2 linked regions of the Tamandua tetradactyla genome follow. The protein of the gene in region 1 purifies or fractionates together with the protein of each later gene. This does not show direct contact. Links are inferred from orthologs where the notes say so. Each region holds a gene or a part of one and is shown on either strand. Other genes may lie near its edges.

What was found.
Region 2: the proteins of STYK1 (region 1) and TMEM259 purify together in Homo sapiens (affinity purification with mass spectrometry; 3 studies listed by BioGRID and IntAct, with this or other methods). This does not show direct contact. The link is inferred for Tamandua tetradactyla from reciprocal best matches to the Homo sapiens genes STYK1 and TMEM259.

Annotation. Positions count from the first base shown.
Region 1 is NC_135333.1:73,294,554-73,304,195, reverse strand, and holds the start of STYK1 (tyrosine-protein kinase STYK1), read left to right. Parts: upstream 1-5,707; 5' UTR 5,708-5,917; intron 5,918-5,986; exon of another isoform or gene 5,987-6,005; intron 6,006-6,103; 5' UTR 6,104-6,146; exon of another isoform or gene 6,147-6,168; intron 6,169-9,642. UniProt on the Homo sapiens protein: Probable tyrosine protein-kinase, which has strong transforming capabilities on a variety of cell lines. When overexpressed, it can also induce tumor cell invasion as well as metastasis in distant organs.
Region 2 is NC_135337.1:81,995,886-82,005,560, forward strand, and holds the start of TMEM259 (membralin), read left to right. Parts: upstream 1-5,768; 5' UTR 5,769-5,985; coding exon 5,986-6,204; intron 6,205-9,675. UniProt on the Homo sapiens protein: May have a role in the ERAD pathway required for clearance of misfolded proteins in the endoplasmic reticulum (ER). Promotes survival of motor neurons, probably by protecting against ER stress.

The DNA of each region.
Region 1 (9,642 bases):
AGACACTCATGAATAGCATGTTTTGCAAATTAACCCCTTCACTTCATAAATTGCCATTCTTTCCTCAGGATCCCTTGTCTTCAATACATGATGCATAACCCTCTTTCATAAAGACCCAGAGGGTGTGCTATCATCACTCTATTATAAGCAACTTTAGTAACACTTACTTTCATATATTTCAAGGTAAAAAATATAAGCAAATCCTTGTGTTCTCTTATCAGTTTAAATACAGCTCACTAAAGTTACGTAAGTACCAAGTACTGTAAATATATTATCACTTATCTTTACTGGAAGACATACTATTTCCATTTTACCAATGTGAAAACCAACAGCTCTTTAAAAATTACATTATATGCCTACATTCCTCAGAGTTGCAGCTAGCTGTGTAACAATCGACCTTAAATCCAGGTGGCTTAATATAATACGTTTCTTTTTTCTCTTATGGACATGCCTGGTTGGATGGGTCTCCTGGGCAATTCTCTCCTTAGTGATTCTTAGGAATCAGGTCTTCTTCCATGCTGTGGTTCTGTTATTATTAAATGTGGTTTCAGTCTGTGGACTCCAACCGGTAGACAGGGATGTAAGAGATCAAGTGTGTAGGGAAGGCCCCAGCCACTCTTAACTCAGACCAGAACTAATATGCTAGTCACTTGACTGCACTTAAATTTAAGGGGGCTGGGAAAGTAGGTTTGTCGTACACCCAGACAGAAGAAATAAGTTCGGTAAGCAGAATCAGACTGCCACAATTCCAAGGCATAAACTGTTAAGAGGTGGGTCCTGGTTTCCATCATGGTCTGTCTGATGTCATTACTCAAACTTTTCTCTTTATGCTACATTGTTAGTGCAAGGCAACAGAAAGAGCCTACAGAACCCTAGCTGGCTCATCACTTTGTAGGGGTGAGGTCATGATGAAACCAGGTTCTGATCCTCAATTTCTCTCCTTCGTGAACTTTTATTTTTTGTCAGTTCGCCAAGAGATGTTTAACGCTATGCCTATGGTGCAATTTGTAAGAAATGCCATTTTAATAGTCTACACTGAGAAAATTCATTGGCTTTATTGAATTTTTCCTCCCTCTTCTGGAAAGGTTTAAGATGATTTAATATATACATATTATATATGACACAAAAAGATAAAATAAGTGAAAAAAATCTATGAAAATAAGGGAAAGGGCCAATAAGGTTGGGGCCAGCAGTGAGGTAGAGCACAACGTTATGAATGAAACCCTATTCATAACGCATAGTAGAGGGGGCCACAAATTCATCTTTAAGATGGAAACACAAGCAGTTATCAGATGCATTGCTCTATGAGATGAATACAAACTATTTGCTTAAAAAGCATGTACAACCTCACTTCAGTCTTAAACCAGAAATAAATGTAAATACAAACCATGAATCATTCATTCATTTATCCATCCATTTCATAAATATTTAATGAGTGAGTACTATATGCCAAATACTGTTTTAGGCTCTGGGGTACATCTGTGCACAAAACAAAATCCTATCCTTATGAAGTGAGGGAAGAGAGATGTAACTCTGAGCAAGTAACTGTGTGCTGGGGATGATAAGTCCTGAGGAAAAAAAATTTGTAAGCACATTTCCCCCCTGGATAACATTGAGCATACAATGTATTTCACTCTTAAGCTTTTCTTTTTCTGGATCTATTAAGACCACTGCTTTTTTTTAATGATATAACACAGATAAGTCTGGAATGGGGTTTGGGCACCCTATTTTCATTGTTTCTTAATTCTTAGAGACTAGTATATAGCTTTCTATTTTTTTTCTATTCTGCTACTCAGAGCCATATTTCTGCTGTAGGCTCCAGTGGATGCTCTCACGATGGGAAAGTTTATGAAACTCAGGTGAGTGGTGCTGGCCCTGCCCAGACACCACTCTGGACACAGAGCCGCCATCTCTAACAGCATCAGCGATGGCTCTACGGCCCTATGGCCATGCCCTGGGGGCTGGAATCACTGCTACCCCTGAAAAGTGTCAGCTGCCCTGAGCAAGAAGAAAATCACCCAGAGATCAAAGATCAAGTCTTTTGTGAAAGTTTATAACCAAAATCACCTCATGCCCACAAGGTACTCTGTGGATATCCCCAGTGGCAAAGCCATTGTTAACAAGGATGTTTTCAGAGCCCTTGCTCAAACACAAGGCCCAGCATGGCGCCACCGTCAAGTTTCTCTGGAAGCTGTGATTTTTAAATGGTTTTGTTTCAATCTTTAAAAATACACAGACACACATAGAATAAATAAGGGGGGTGGGGGCTGAACCGCTCCCGGTGCTGACTTTTGCTGCTGACCCTGAAGTAGTTGGTGGCGGTGGGCCACACCCTCTGGTTGTTGGGTTGTACTTCCTTCCCATTTCACTCCATGTTCCTGGAAGCTGCCCAGGTGGTTGTGGCAGTGGGAGAACATCCCAGATATCTGTTCTCTCCTTCCCGTGGGCCAGCCGTGCTCGGCGTCTCAGTCTGGCGTCCCCACGGGGGGCTCGCACTCGGCGCCTGTGTGCACTGTTCCCAGGGCCAGCAGAATGACAGGCTCCTTGCTGTAGCGGCACCCGAACCAGGAGCCGAGCTGAGCCCTGCATCGGCCCGAGAGGTGGCCGAGGCTGGTGGTGGTGCCACAAAAATGGTCTCCAACAGGTCCCTAAGGCCAAGGAGAAGCATAACGAGAACATCACCCAGTGTGGCAATGTTGCCAAGACCTGGAGAAATGCCCCCGAAGGGTAGGACCCTGGCTATTGGCTTTTCATTTTTTGTTGTTTGTGGCTCTTCGATTTTCCAGATTACATCAGGATGGACATGTGAAATGACTTTAAGATGTTTCCATACTCCTGTGACTTTTAACTTGAACTCAGTCCCGATGTGTGATACTTTGGTTAAAAACAACTCAGTAAAGCATCCTGTCTTGAATGGGGGATTCACCGGGAGAGACATTCTGCTGTGGGAAATTGTTCTAGGGAGGTGGGAGTTTGGACTAGACGAGTGTAGGCATATGTGTGTGTGTGCTCAAGGATTTGAGAATCATGAAATATGAAACTGGAAATGGACTGGAGCTAATCTAATTCAACGTCTTCATTTTACAAATCAGGAACTAAAGCTCAGGTAGGGCACCCTGCCCAAGGTGATGAAGGTATGGATTCTGGCTGTAGATGGGTGATCTTTAAAATATACTAAATTATTCCATCAGAATGGTGGGTGTATTAGTCAGGATTCTCTAGAGAAGCAGAACCAACAGGAGATATCTGTAAATATGAGATTTATAAAAGGGTCTCACGCAAGCAACCATGGGATAAAAAGTCCTGAATCCATAAGGCAGGCTGCTAGGTTGACAACTCCAGTGAAGGGTCTCAATGAACACCACAATAGAGGCTCTTTGGCTGAAAAAGCAGTGAAAATTCTCTCTTCTCCCTTAAAAGTCTCCAATTGATTCAATCAAATCCAATGGATTGGATTATCTTGTTTGTGGGAGGCACGTCCTTAGATGATTATAGATGTAATCTGCCATAGCTGTAGTCAACTGCCTGATGATTTAATAAACCAGCCACGTAATATCCCTGCAGCAATGGTTAGGCTAGTGCTTGCCTGACCAGACAACCAGGCACCATCACCCAGCCAAGTTGACACCCAAATCATCATATTGAGAAAGGAGGAAAAAGAGAAGAAAGGAGTGGAGCCAAGAGGTTGGCAAAATGTTCCATATCAGCACATTTTTTCCCTATGGGAAGTGTGGATGTTCCTTATCAGTATAAGTAGTTGGCAAATGGGATACTTCTTCTGTGGTTAACATTTATTGACCTCTTACTATGTACAGGAACACGGAATACAAAGATGCCCATGCCCTAATCTCCCAAACCTATGGATATGCTACCTTGAAGGGAATTTGCAGCTATGACTGAGGTTACTGACCTTGAGATGGAAGTATTATTATGGATTTTCTCTAAAGGCCCAATCTAATAAACATATGAGTCTTTAAAAGTGGAGACATTTCTTCAGTTATGGTCGAAGAGAGAGAGATGGTGAAAGAAGAGTCTGAGAGACATGATGTTTGAAGAGGGAGGAAGAGAGCTACAAACCAAGGAATGCTGGTGACCTCTAGAAGCTGGTAAAAGCAAGGAAAGGGGTTCTCCCCTAGAATCTCCAGAAATGAACACAGTCTTCCCAACACCTTGATTTTCGTTCAGAGAGGCCCATATTGGACGTTTGACCTACAGAACTATAATTAATTTGTATTATTTAAGCCACCAAGTTGGTGATAATTTGTTACAGCAGCAATAGAAAAATGGTTTGCAGTGTATAAGGACACAATATATTCATGGAAAGTTCAATATCCATAATCCACATTCCCTTTGACAGTCAGTGTGATAAATGTGGAGTCGGACTGATAATAATAACTGATGATCCCTTGTCTCTGTCTTTAGTCAGTTGCAAGACCTCTGGTCTTCTAAAAAGATCCCTTTCATTACTGTCCCTGGGACTCTTCAAAGCAGTGAGGACATCTCATAAATTGTCATCAACCCAATCCCCATTTACTACATAGAGTCCATCCTTTTCTTCCTCTGTCTTGGGCTGCTTCTGGCAGTGTCTACTTTTCTCTCGATGCTTGAGAAGTCCCAGTTAGGTACCAGGCATTGTTACAGAACCTCTACTGCTGACTCTATGTACATATTCCATCAAAGTTGCTGTGTTCCTGTCTGCCAGGGCAAGCCTTCCAGGTAGATGACCCGATCCTGTGGAGCTAACTTCCATCGATGTTCTTCTGTGGGAGGGCAATGTTTGCAGATAAGTTGGAAGACTCCATCTGCTTCACTTTTGCATTAAATTCCTTTGTAACAGTTCTAAAGCAATACTATACATATACCCAAGGTCAAAAATAGTTTTGAGTGAGATTAACCGTTTTTACTTGCACTCCACTTTCCCTGGGACTCAGTTATAAGTCTGTATATATCTTTATTCAGAGCCTATTAAGTATCCAGCTATGTTCTAGGATGCTACAGGAATTATACAAATGAATAAACCAGTCTCTTCCCTCAAGGGGATTAGGGTAACTGGTGAGGTAGAGGAGGAGATTAAATAATATAAAGCTCAGATCAGTTCATCTGGCTTTTATTAATCAGTTTTGGCACGTAGGAACAATTAACTGATGAAACGTCATCCCACTCTTTTCTTAACATGGCCTGTTTTAAAAGAGTTCTGAAGGAAATAAGTATTTCGGTGGAGGAGACTCTAGAGAACTAAAGTATCTTAATCTCTAAACCCTCCACTTTACATAGCACCCAAATTCTTTCTGCTCTAAAGGATGCAAATTTCTGCTTGGTATGCTGTTAATGCTTAACAAATTGGTCATCTATTCAAGTAATCTATGACCTATAGTTCTTTAATAGAACTTGCTATATATATATTATAATATCTAATTTTGAATATCTAATTTGAAAGCTATGCTCTTTCTAGATATTCTGTGATTGTAAATTTCATGTTGGTAGGTAACATAACTACCTGTTCACCACTGTATCTCCAGAAAAACCCGGCATATAATGGGTGTTTAAAAAACATATCGTAATGAATGACTGATTACTTACTCTTGGGATTTTTATTTTCACTTATACCTTAAAGATTCCCCCAATTAGCAACCATCGTAAACAGTATCTTATATGACGTAAAGGCAAGGGCGGAGGGGACGAATCAACTTTGAAGTTCTAACCTAGATCATTTTAAGTAACAATGAAAGCAACTGCTATGGGGTGGGACAAGAGGTGGCGCTGTTGCCCTTTTCGCATAGCTTTCCGTTTCCACCTTGAACCGAGTTTATTTTATACTTCACCGACTTGCAATCACTAGGGTAGGAAATGAGTACGTAGACCACCCCAAGCCCAGCGTTCACAGTTTCAGCGGAGGTTTCCTGCTGGCTGGTGTGTGGTGAGTGCGGGAAACCCCGGAGCCCGCACACTTCCCGTTGTGGGGAGGCTACCCAAATTCCATCCTCGCCTAGCGGCCACGCCCCACGGTGGGAAGGCGGGACTGAAAAGCATTTCCTTGAGGCTGGCATACATTGCCCTACCCAAACCGTCATGTGTATATTTATATGTTTTTTTTTCCCGGCAGGACCAATTCCATCTGAAACCAGAGTGCCCGGAGGAGGGACACGGTAGCGAACGGGGACTTTGGGGGTAAGGAAGGGTGGAAGGGGGGATAAGATGCCAGTGATGCAGCTAGCTCTGGACTTGACTTTGGGGAAGAAAAAGAAAAAGGAGGTGGCCGGGAGTGGGACGGTTGTGATCAGCTCGTTGTGTTTTATGTAAACAAAAACAAACTATAATAACCAGATGAATTAACCTGTACACATTTCCCTGGAACAAACATCTTGAAGTTTTTGGCTTCTCTGTTTTTAAGAAACTATACCTGACTCAGCGGTTTGGTGAAAAGAGCAGCTGCAAGAAAAAAAAAAACAGTGATGAGGGGCCTTTGTTATTCCTGAGAAGGGCAATCGGGAGAGGGAAGATAAAAACAGTGCTCGTGAAGAAATTATTTGTTGGCTTGTCAGGTTACATAGCCTTCGACCGTGTGGCCTTGGGATCACTGCTCTCAGGTTCAGCTTCAGCTGTTAAGAGTAAATGAGAATGCCATTACCTTCCAGAGTGATTGTGATATTTAAAGAGATTATGTAGCAATGCTTTAAAAACTGTATAAAGTGATATGTTCTTCCTTGTTGACTAGGATTTCTGTTTTCTTGTAGTGTCTTCTCTTTTTCTGTCTCGCCTTTCTCACTATCAACCCTTCAACTTCATTCCCATTTTGAACCTTTTCTTTCCCTTTCATTTCCTATGCCTCCTTCTGGGATTTTTAACCTCCTTCTATAATGAATCCTCTTTTCCATCTGAGGTTTCTTTCAGATTTCCCATTACTATCCATTTCTGAAGTGAGGAAATAAAAAGTTGAGTTGCTCAATTGTGCAGCTCGCCCAAATTGACATGCACCTGGAAATAAAACTTTGTAGGAGTTGACCTCGTCAGTGCCCCAGAATCTCTGCTCACAGCCGGGTCATCCAGGCCTTTCAAATAGACATTGTGAAGTATTTTCATCAATGAAAACGCCATCAGTTTTCTCTGGGGCCTCCATTACTAAGTATCTAATTATTCACGTGCTCAAAGTTAGTTGAGCATGGCTGTCTTCTGCAGAGGCATTGTTTTCCCACCTTCCCCACCTCATCACAACCAGCCCCAAAAAGCTTATGCTCTAAACTTCTGCCTGGATCTGTGGATGCTGCATCTCCCTTTTGTTTTAACCTGAGCATGTGTGTCTGAAATGGGTCTCAGTGACCCAAAATCAAAGTGTGAGAAGGGCTTCATTCTTTTCTGGAGGCTCTAGGGTAGAATCCATTCATGCCTTTTCCACCTTCCAGAGGTTTTGGCTTCCTCTGTTCTCAAAGCCAGTAATGGCCAGTTGAGTCTCACATCACGTTATTCTGATACACTTCTGCTTCCTTTTTCCACATTTAAGGACCCTTGTGATTACATTGGGCTCACAGAAATAACCTAGGGTAGTCTCCTTATTTTAAAGGCAGTTGATTAGCAAACTTAATTCAATCTGCAACCTTAATTCTCCTCTGCCATGCAACCTAACACATTCACAGGTTTGGGGATTAGGGCAGACATCTTTAGTGGGGGAGGTCGAGGGGATTTTCTTTCTGCTACACCTGAGTTTTCTCTGGCTGGGTTCTCTTTATTGAGTTCCTGTCCTGTTTTTGCAATGAAGGATCACCATTTGCCTGCTGTAGCAATCAAACTTTGTATCCCTTTATCTGGAAAAACAGCATGCTGCCAGATGACAGAATTAAAATGTTTCCCACTGAGCAGAAGCCTGGGTGCCATGATACTTCCCATATAACACTACTGAAAATTATTCTTTATTCCCCCCTTGTATCCCTAGTGTTATAGTTAAATCCTTTAAGCCTGATTGATTACTATAGGTTATTTTTTAAAAAGATTTCCCTTCAAATCAAATTCTATTTTTATAGATGAATTTAGTTATTTTTATTCAACAGGCATATGAATCTTGATATGTGCCAGTCACTATTCTAGATGCTAGAGATACAGTTGTGAACACAAATTGCCAAAAAGACCCTATATTCTTGTTCTCATGAAAGTTTCAATCTTTTTTTTTCCAATTTTGTCACTTCATGTTTTTCTCCCTACCAGCTTAGGTTTAGTTGGTCTCCATCTGATTTTAGATGGGCTACTGCTCTCTACCTACTCTGGGGCTGTGCTAATGAGGGAAATAAAAAAAGAAGATGACTGAATTCTCAAGGAAATTACTATTTGGGAAAGAACAGGTTATAATAGACACATTGATAAGTGCTGAATACATAGACTGGGTATTAAATTCTCAGTATTGGTACATTATGTCTTGCTCAAAGTTTCTAACTGGGGAAAACAAAAGGAGAAAGAAATGAATATGCACAAAGGAAAATCGGCTAATTACACAGACATTGGTAAGGAGTGGAAAGAGTTCTGTCCTGAGTCTTGGGAGCTGAAATCTGTTTTAAACTCCTACATTCTCTTTGTGAGCAAATAACAAGGCATCTACCTCAGTAGCCCTTCATTGTTTCTTTTATCTTTTACTCAGAAAATGAAGGGTAGATTAGGAAATCTCTGGGGATTGTTCCAGGTTTAAAAAAGAAATCTTTGATGTTTGAACTTCTCAGCATTTCTTTGAGTTTCCTAACTAGAATAATAATGAGGAGATAGGCTTAAGTTTAGTTGGGGAGAGTCAGCACTGGACAAGGAAAGGCAGATGGGGATGGAGTAAAGGGGTTTACCTTCGCCTCAATCCCATTTTCTAAGACTGCTCTTCCTCAATTCAGGTAGCCTTCTCCTCTACTTTTCCCACCCCACACCTTTGGGTAAATTGGGCAGGGTGAATTCCAGCTTATCATATTGTGAATACCAATTTCTAAGACTGAGGAACAGTAGGATTTCCAGGTGCTCAATCCTTCTTTAGCCCCAATTCAATGTTTTCTCATTTATAATAAGTCTTGGCATTGTGGTAGCAAGGCATATAGATAAACAATTCTTGACAATTACCATGGTCAAAGCAAATTGAAAACAATGATTGCGTTTTTCAGACCTGTAGCTTCATATTTTTATGGACTAAATTACTGTCTAGGTTTGTAAATGAAAGCAAAAGCTGCTTTGAGTTTTTTTTCTACAACTATTTTAAGCCCTCATCCATGGTGAACTGTCCTATCTTCTTTATGCTATCAAAAGTAGTTGCTAAAATTGTTCCTGTAACAGAGTATGTTGCGATGAGGGCATTATTTCTAGAACATTGATCTACATGAAAAGTATTATAAATGTAAAATTCTAGCCTAAGTTAGTTATAATTCTATTAAGAACATATAGTGGTAGATGCTAAAGGTTTAATTTAGAAAATGTGTCAAAATGTACACTGTGGCCATAGGAAAACCTCATAATATGACAAAATACTCAAATATGACAAAATACTCAAAATATGACAAAATACTCATATTTTGTCGCGTAGGTTTATGGTGAAAGCTTCAAAACAATTATCTGAAATCTTGCACACAGATGTTCAATGATTTAACCAGATGACCCTGTCTTTGGGTAAATGCATAGTGCTATGTT
Region 2 (9,675 bases), on another chromosome or scaffold:
TCTGCACTCGTCGATTCTGGCTTCCGCAGACACCTTAGATCTGGCCCTGCCCATCCCTGCGGGGGACAGAGCCAGGCACTGACTCCCCCTGCCCCTTGTGATAGGGGTCAGAGGGAGGAGCCTACTGCTAGAGAAACATGGAAGGGTGGGGATTCCGCTGAGGGGGTCCAAGAAGGCTGAATGTAAGAGGGGGCGTGGGAAATGGGGTTTTGACGCCTGAGTAGGAGTTGCATATCTGGCAAGTGGCTCTGTGGGGGCTCAGAGATGACTCATCCCTGTCCCTTCCCTGGGGAATGCTCCTCCCCGACCCCACACTCCCTGGATGTCTGCTTCCTCCCCCTCTGACTTGATTCTCCCATTCCATTCAGTTGAAGGTTCTTTCTTCAGGGTTCAAGTCCTAGCCGGCTGGTCTTGGCCAAATTCCTTCTCTTCTTGGATTAAGCTGCCTAATCCGTGAAATGGGCACTAGTGAGCAGTGGGGGCGGGATCAACAATGAGAAAGCGCCGCTCCAAGTGTGGGATCAGTTGCAATTTATTGGTGTTCAGGGTGGGGCATGGGAGCTTTGGGGCCGGATGGTGGGGGGTGGGGGTCCGTACAGGTCCGGCTAGGGCACCAGGATCAGCAGGACTCAGGATGCCACCAGGGTCTCTGCAGAAAGGAGACCTGCACCGGCCCCCACGAGAGCCAGGGCCAACTTGCAGTCAGCCCCGGCTGTAGGCGTCATACGCATCCTTCTCCTCGACCAGCTGTGGCTCTTGGGGTTTGTCCAGTGTGGCCACCCAGCAACACCCCAGGGGCACTATCTTGGTGGGTTATCTCTGCCTATGACGCATGCCCGGGCCCGCGCACCCGCAGGTGGGTGGAGGACCCATACCCCGGGCATGAGGTCCAGCCAGGGCATCTCCAGCAGCAGGGACGGCCGGGGATCCCTCCGGCAGCTCTGCAGGCCCTGCAGCAGGTGGTGCGAAGGAAATGGGGTGGATGGGGGGCCTGCATGGGACAGCCATGAGTTGAATGCAGAACCAACTAGAACGAGATTACCTACGTGGCCTGGTAAGCCCCCACCCTGCCAAGCCTCAATCTCTGCACCTGCTAAATGAACCTGCCTCCCACGACAGGACACTTACCAGCCGCCTGACAAACAGCCTTTCCGTGAGCGCCACAAGTCCGGGTGGCCCAAGTCCGGGTGGCCCAGGGCAGTACTGGCCATACCAGCCCCCGAGCCCCTAAAGATGGCCGGTGCGACTGAGAAACCGGATGTTTTGCTTTATTTCATTTTCATTAATTCAAATTTTAAAAAATCTAAAACTGACTGTTCTGTTTTTGGAAAACTTTTACATATATGTGAAGGGCTTGGGTGCATGTGACTCCGTTTCAACGTTAAGCTTTATGGACTCTAGATGCGCTTCAAGTGTTTTCGGAGAAATGTGGATATGTGAGACCTGGTAGAAAAGCAGAGATCATGAATGATCTCGTTAAGAAGTTTCCATATTGATCACATGTCCAGATTATATTTTGGATTTATCAAGTTACATAAAAAAATCACCTGTTCCCAAAAAAAAAAAAAGTCACTTGTTCCCATTGACTTCTTTCAACGTGGCTGCTAGAAAATTTTAAAGTATCTGAGTGGTCGGTAGGGTTTGCGTTATCTTTCCATCGGGAGAGAGTCCGGCCACCTCCAGCCGCCTGCCTTCCCGCTGCGAGTTAAAAATGATTTTTACATTTTGAAGCGGTTGAAAAAAATAAAAAGACTAATATTTCACAACACAAAATTCAAGTTTCAATGTAATAAAACTGTCAATAAAGCTTTATTGGCACACAGCTGTGCGCACTGATTTCTAATCATTTAGGGGGATGCATGCTACAAGGGTGAGAACTGAGTAGTTAGGACAGACTTTCTGGGCTGCAAAGATGAAAATACAAACTATCTGGTCCTTTGCAGAAAAAGTTTACCGTCCCTGGGTCTGGGCTCTCGGAGCACCCTGGAACCCCAGATATCAGTTCTGGAAACTTCCTGGACCTGTGCCTGAGAAGCTTTGACTTCCAGAATGGAATAGTAATTGTATTATATAGAATTGTAAAATAATTCTGCATAATTCTACAACCTCAATGCTCCCCACCTTGGGGCCTGGGTTCGAATCCCTGCTCCTGGCTTGGCTGCGGGTGGGTACCCGTTGCAAGGCCCCTCTATGCCTCAGTCTCCGCTAATGTAAAATGGGGGTGACCAGACGCTCCTATCCGGAGCGGAGATAAGGGGTGAAGATGCTGCACTCTTAGGTATTCTGGCCCCAGCAGCTGGGTGCTCTCGCCAAAGGAGAGTATGGGGCCCTGCCCGGCTGGACACCCTCCCCCCATGGCACTCACCCACGCTCGGGAGCCTGTGAGATTTGTGGCGTGGTGGCGTCTTGACAGAGTGGGGCTCCGAAGTGGGGACATGGTGATGCCCTCGGGATGGGGCTGCTGGGGTGACCTTAGGGCCCCAGGGTCTTGGCAACTGGGCTAAGGAGCCGCAGCTACAGGGGGGTCCCAGGGAGCAGCCCCCTGGGTGGCCCTGTCCCTACAGATCCCGGGCTTTGCATGGGATCCTGGGGGGTTAGGGCAGGACCCCAGCCTGGGCTCCCAGCCAGGGCTTTGGGTGACTTCTGGTGGGGATGCAGATGCTTCCCCTGCACCCTACCTTTCGGATCCAGCTGGGCGGTCAGCCCAGCTCGCTCCTGCTGCTTCCTGGCCAGGACACCTGCTGGGAGCAGCCATCCTACAACAACATCGACGACAAGGCAGGGAGAATAATAATAGAACTCAAGCAGAGGCCGCTGCCTCTGGGCTCAGCTCGGGAGCTTCCCACGGCCAGCGCCTCCCCTCAACAAACAGGTCCTCCATGCCCCGTGCCACCCCCCTCATCCCTTTGCCCTAACCCCAGTTCCTGCTCGGAGGACACCTTCTTAAGGAGCCTCCTTGAGGCGCTAACGGAATAATTCACAACCTGCTCCCACCCCAATGCCATCGGCACCCCCAAGGCAGGTAACGGGAATGCCCCAGCACACTCTGGCCTCCAGCTCATCTTCAGATTTCTCCAGATGCCTCCAGATGGCCCAGTGGTGTTGTCTTTTGTTGTTCTCTGTGTGTGTGTGTGTTGTTTCTTCCGGTCTAGATTTAGAAGCATCCCCCAGAAAATCTGTCATTTTAACCATTTTTAAGAGGACATGTCAGTGGCACGAATTACATTCACAGTGTTGTATTGCCAACACAGCTATTCTATGAAACTTGTCATTGCCCCAAACAGAAGAAACCCCATGCCCATTAGCAGTCACCCCACAAGCCCCCACCCCCGCCCACAGTCCCCGGAGACCACGAATCCTCTCTCTCTCTCTCTGGATTTGCCTGTTCTGGACATTTCAAAATAATAGAGTCATTTTGCCTGCATTTAATAATAATAATAATAATAATAATAATAGAGTCAGACAGTGTTTGGCCTTTTGTGTCTGGCTTCTTCCACCGAGCACCAAATCTTCAGGATTCATTTGGTTGTAGCATGGACTGGAACTTCAGCCCTTTTCAGAGCTTTATAACATGCCGTAGCGTGCACAGCCCACATTTTGCTGGTCCATTCCACTGGTCTGTGGCAGACACCCAGGGGGTTCCACCTGTTGGCAACTGGGAATCAGGCTGCGATAAATAGTGGTATTCAGCCATCTGCCCAGGCTCCTGCTTCCAGTCTTTTCCGATTCTCCTTGGACGTGGGACTGCAGGGTCATGAGGTCATTCTGCTTAACTTTTTAAGGAACTACAAAACTGTTTCCCATGGTGGCTGTAGCATTTCACATCCCAACAGGGTGCAAGGGCTCCTATATCTCGGTACCCTCTCCGACGCATGTTACTATTTAGCTATTCTATTCCAGCTGTTCTGGGGGTACATCATGGTGCTTTTGATTTGCATTTCCCTGGTGGCTGATGACATGGAGCATTTTCCCATGGGCTTGTTGGCCCTCTGCACACCTGCTTTGGGGAAATGTATATTTAAGTCTTGGCCCGGTGTTTAATTGGGGCTCCTGTGTGACGGTATCTCTTTCTGGAGGCCGGCAGTTGCTTGGCAGCCTTGCCAGCAATTGAACTTGTTCTCGAATGCCGTGTTTGTGCTAACATGGTCTAGACCTGTGCTGACCACTATGGCCTCCCCTCGCCTCCTGTGTCTATTTAAACCTGAATTCAATGAAATGAAATGTAAAGTTCGGTTCCTCTGGTGCAATAACCACATTCTCCATGTTTAGGAGCCCAGTGGCAGCCTCATTTGTGGGATATGCTGAACCCAAGGCTTCATGGGCCTTCTCAGGGTGGAGGTGGGGAGCTGGTTGCCTCTGCTGGCTTCAGGTCAGAGGTCGTGATGCCTCTCAGCAGTGAGGCTGGGCTTGGCACCTTGGTCAAGGCGTTGTTCTTCAGGTCTCTCCGTTGAGAAAGTTGATTTTATTTCTCCTTTTGCAATTAACGCAGAAGCTGGGGAGTGATTCATAATAATTTCAACAATCTACATATTGAGTGCCTACTGTATGTCAAGAGGAGTGTCCATTTAACAGAAAGGGAATGGCTTTGGCATTCTAGTCTTGGTAAGGGCCCCATCTGTCTGTCCATCTCAAGGGTGGGATGCTTCCAGGATTCTGAAAACTAGCCAGTTAGATCTGGAAGTTTGTTAGCCTCCAGGTCACCCCCTTCCTGAGCACCCAATCTGATTCGGAAGGTGACAGCTTATCTACCTGCTTCCTGCTTGGTACCTGAGCTCTGGAAAGGTGGGACCCAGCCAGCATGCCCGTGCTGTGTCCTGGGCACACTGCACAGGCCTTGAGGTGCGAGAAGACCATTTCCCTCTATTTGCAGCAGGACTCTGCGCCCAGCTTCCCTTTCCCCGGGGCTGCACAAGTCTCTTTGCCCCCTGTCAGTCCTGTCTCCTTCTTCCCCCTGCTTTTCCAGGCCTCCTGCTGTGGCTAGCCACCCCCATCAAGCTTTGGGGCGTCTGAGTAGAGTCTCTTTCAGCACCTGGCATACAGCAGGCGTTCAGTGAGTATAGGTTCCTAATTTTCCCGGTCGCTAGAAGGCACGGAGGACTTTCAAAGACGAATAACGAAACCAAGTGGGGCGGGGGGGGGCGTCGGCGCCTCTCGAGGACTCTGTCCTTGAATGCCAGGTGCAAGCCGTCCTGTAGCCTGGCCCCGGGTGGTGGGATCCAGCCTCCGCGCGCTTCTGGGAGAGGGGGCGCGGATGTCCCGTAGGGAGTGCACGCAGCGTGGAGAGAAGTGTTCAAATACTTTTGGCGGCGCCTGCCGCAAAGGGCGGGAACTTCGCAAAAATATGGAACGCTTCACGAATTTGCGTGTCATCCTTGCGCAGGGGCCATGCTAATCTTCTCTGTATCGTTCCAATTTTAGTATATGTGCTGCCGAAGCGAGCACAAATCTGGTGATCCAGGCAGTCGTATATAAAGGTCTCAATATTTCGTTCTTTACAGTTAGGTCAACCACCTGTAGGTGTATATTTAGCAAAATTTTCTAGAACGCAACTTTAAGGGATATATTGTATGGTCACATTGACTTTAGATGTGTTTAATCACTCCGAAATCCTCAGCTGTGCCTTAATCCGCCGCCCGCACGCGCGGCCTCGCAGCCGCGGAGTCTTCTGGGATTCAACATGCAAAATAACCTGGCCTCGCGCCGCCCCGTCCCCGGCACCGGCGAGCCCAGCGGCCGAGTGCAGGGGCGGGGCCGCCGCGGGCTGGCCGCCGACATCCCAGCGTTCTCCGCGGGCGGGAGTGGGGGCCCGCTCTTGCCCGTCGCGGCTACTCGCTGGCGTCAGCAGGGCCGCGGAGGCGGAAGATGGCGGCGGCGGCCGGGCGGCGGTGAGCGTTGGAGGTGGTGGTGGTGGCGAGCATACAGGCGATGGCGGCCGGGAGGCGCCCTCGGAGATCCGCGGGCCGTTAGGGCGTGACGCTGGGCGGCATGTCGGAGCACGCGGCGCCCGGGGCCCCGGGGCCCGGGCTCAACGGCGGCGGCCCGGCCCCCGCTCGCGGACCTCGCACCCCCAACCTCAACCCCAATCCGCTCATCAACGTGCGCGACCGGCTCTTCCACGCGCTTTTCTTCAAGATGGCCGTCACATACTCGCGGCTCTTCCCACCCTCCTTCCGCCGTCTCTTCGAGTTCTTTGTGCTACTCAAGGTGACCGTGACCCCCGACCCCGACCCCTGACCTCGGCCGGCACGCCGAGCCCCCCTCCTGGGGCATCCTACCTCACCCCGGAGGCTTGGGCCCGGCCGGAGTGATTAGGGCTCCCCCGACCCCGGCAGGCCCCCATGAACCCGGTGCCTGGATTCTCACCTACCCCGCCTCCCCTGGGAACCCTCTGATCCTCACTTGGGACCCTTCCCGCGGCCTTCTGGATCCCACCCCTTTTCTGGAAGGCCAGCCCCGACCGGTTAGGGAATCCCTTCCACACCCCTGACTCTTACGTTTGGGATCCTTAGCCTCCCCCGCCCCCACCGTCACTCCTCCCCTTCCCGGCCACGCTGCTACCCACTCCCCCAGGACACAGTGCACTGGAGATCCCCATTCCATCTCTTCCTCCCCCTTCCCCCTTCCCCTTTCCCTGGCAAGGGGATGGTCCACCTGCCCCCCACCCTGATTCTCCCTCCTTTGAGCCTCTTAGAAAAAGCTGACTTAGCTGAGGTCACTTCACTAGAGTCACTGGCAGTCTCAGGTGGCACTCGCTGCCTCCCCGCCTCGCTTGCTCACCGCTTAGCACTTGGGCTGGGACTGGTTGAACCAGGTCTCTCTTTGTCCTCCTTCCTCTCTGAGCCATCAGTCACTGTTGTACCCTGTGCTCTGGCTCCTTCAGTCCTCCCTCCCTCCGACAGAGGCTTCTGCCATGAAGGCAGCTCCCAAAACAGCAACATGAGGGCCGTGCAGGAAAGGCCAGGGCAGTCTGTGGCCTGTCAGAAAGGCACTGGCGTGGGGCGCTGCTTGGGCACAGGGCTCCTGACGGCTGTCACCTGACACATCTGAGAGGACAGAGCAGTGACCATTTCCACAGAGGCGTCGCTGAGGAAGCAGTCGAGACTGTGGAGGATTTAGCTGGTGGGTGTGGGTGGAGTTACCAGCCTGACCCAGATGGGCCAGGATCTGGCTGGTTCTGCTGCATGGGGAGGAAGGGGCATGAGCCCTGTGGTCCAGTGACCTGGGTGCAGGTCCTAGCCCTGCCCCTGAGCCTTCAGCCCCTCGTCTGCGAAATGGGTTCACAGTGAGTAGCTGGCCTTCTTAGGCCGGCTCAGCCCAGCTATCTACCTGCAGCCCGCCTGCCGGCCTGGAGGCTAACTGAATTAGGGTCCCTCTATCAGGCGTCCTGACTCCACTTCAGCCTGAAGTTATTGGCAGAGGTTTGTCTGGGGGTGCGTCTTTTCCTTAAGAACAACAACAGTTTAGCTGACCCGGGACCCAGGAAGGTCCCGCTGCATGTGGACAGGGCCCCACCTGGGACTCAGCTTCCTGAGAGCACAAGCTTGGCTCTGGCCGCACCGGGCTCTGATTGGGGAATGCAGCACGTGTTTGCACCAACCTGGTAGAGAATTCTTTCACCACCAGAAGCGCTTCATGCTGTTGTTTAAATGGGGCTGGAGCTATGGCCAGAGGTCTGCACCCAGCAGCTGAGCCCAGTGCCTTAGGAGTTTGGAGATGGAAAGGCTGTGTGGCCTCTGGCCAGACTCCAGCCCCACCCCCTTGCCTCTGTCACCCGGGATGCTGGACTACCCATCCCTGTGGTGGAGCCAGGAGGCTGGGGATTGCTGTGGATCTGCTCCAATCCCCTGGTGCCTCCCCTGCAGAGTAAGGGCCTGGATCTCTGAGCGTGCTGGAGGTTGCAGAAAGCTCTGGTCTTTGTTTCCTGCCGCCTGACTTCCCATGTATTCACTGAAAAGGCAGACCTTCGTGACCACTTCCTCTTGTGGTACCTTCAGTCTGCAGCCTAGGGGCTAGCCCAGACCCTGCCCTGCCTGCCATGACTGCACTGTGGTGTAACTTTTGGGGACCAGCTATACGTTCCTGCTGCAGGGGAGGTGGCTCCAGTCCCCTGGGGGTTGTCGTTAGAGGCCCCCACATCCCTGGCTGCTGGTTTCCATGGCACAGAGGCTGGGAGCAGCAGGCTTCAGGGGTCCAGGCCTATCTACTTCTCTCTGGACCCCGGGCAGCTGCTGAGCAGACACCACAGGGGAAGGGGGCTGACGTATTGGTGGGTCCTGTCAGGTTGGCTGTTATGTCCTGTGGGTGGGAGGAGATGATTCCCCCATGCTCTCAGGGTAGGAGGGGTGCCCCCAGCAGGGTTGGGGATATCCCAGAGGCACTCCTGAGAGCTGGGATTCAGCTGCTGTCTTTGCCTCTCTCGGGGAAGGCATGGGGTCCCAGCATGGGCTTCCTGCCAGTCTAACACCCAGAGGGGCCTGGGCAGTTCTGCCTGCCCCCTTCCCCATCTGTGCGGAGACAAGGCATTGGAGCCCTGGGTGGCCGTGGTGGCCTGTGACCCAAGGGCACCCGAGAGGCTTCCTGGAGGAGGTGTTAGAGACTTAGCCCTGGGGTCGGTGGAGTGTGAGCATGTGTCCCAAACATGGGTTTTCTGCTGGGCTCTGGGGCACAGCAGTGCATGGGATGCCACGGAAGGCAGGACGTGTGCAACGGCAGCTGGGGAGGGTGAACCTGGCAAGGGTGTCTTGAGGTGAGGGTGGAGAGGGGTGAGTGTGCAAAGGCCCTGGTGCCCCAAGCATTCTGGCTGGGACGAGGTGGGGTCCTGGGGTGGGAGTCACCTACACAGGCCATGGAGTGGGCTGTGCAGGATGCTGGGCCCCTTGCCCAGTGGCTCAGCGAAGGCTCCTGCCATCCTTGGGGAGGTAAGTGGTGCCTCTGGCTGGTGGTTGACAGACTGGGTGTGTTGCTGCCTGCTCTAGGGATGGAGAAACCAAGGGCAGGCTATGCAGCTGCTGGGCTGTAGGCCTGGTCCTGCCCCAACTGGGGTTGGCTTGTGCAGCTGTGGGTGGTGAAGGGACCATGAGGTGGCCAGGCCATGGCATTGGGAGTGTTGGTGGCCTCTCAGTGGCGTCTGTGTGGTGGACCCAGGTCTTGCTGGGCATGGCAGGACCTTCTGGAAGCCTTCCCTTTTCCCTTTTCAGGACCGGCTGCCCCTGCCCCTTCTGGTGTGCAGAGTGTGTGCCCACATCCTGGCTGCCGCCTTGGGCACCAGGTCATGCTACTCAGCTACTGCCCTGCCAGCCCTGCCTCGTGGCTCTGCTTGCAGCGGGGATTTGGGGCACGTTTGGGACCTTGTGCGCGCTCACAGTGTTGAACAGGCAGTGTGGGAAAGCCCCAGCTCCTCTGTGCCTCAGTTTCCTTGTCTGCAAACCAGGGTGACCATGGGAAGCACTGTTTAAGCTTCTAGTTCCACCCCCTTAGCCTGGAATGATAGCCCTAGCAGGAGGGTTGACCGTCCCTCGCAGTTCCAGCTGACCCTGCAGGCCCAGGAAGGGCCGATGGGTGCCCAGCTGGGTTAGGAAGGCTACTTTTAGGGGGTGAGGTTAGGGCAACTCTGAGGACAAGGCAGAAGTTTAAACAGGGGCCAGCCAGGGGACTCTGGGGTGCCTGCCTGACTGC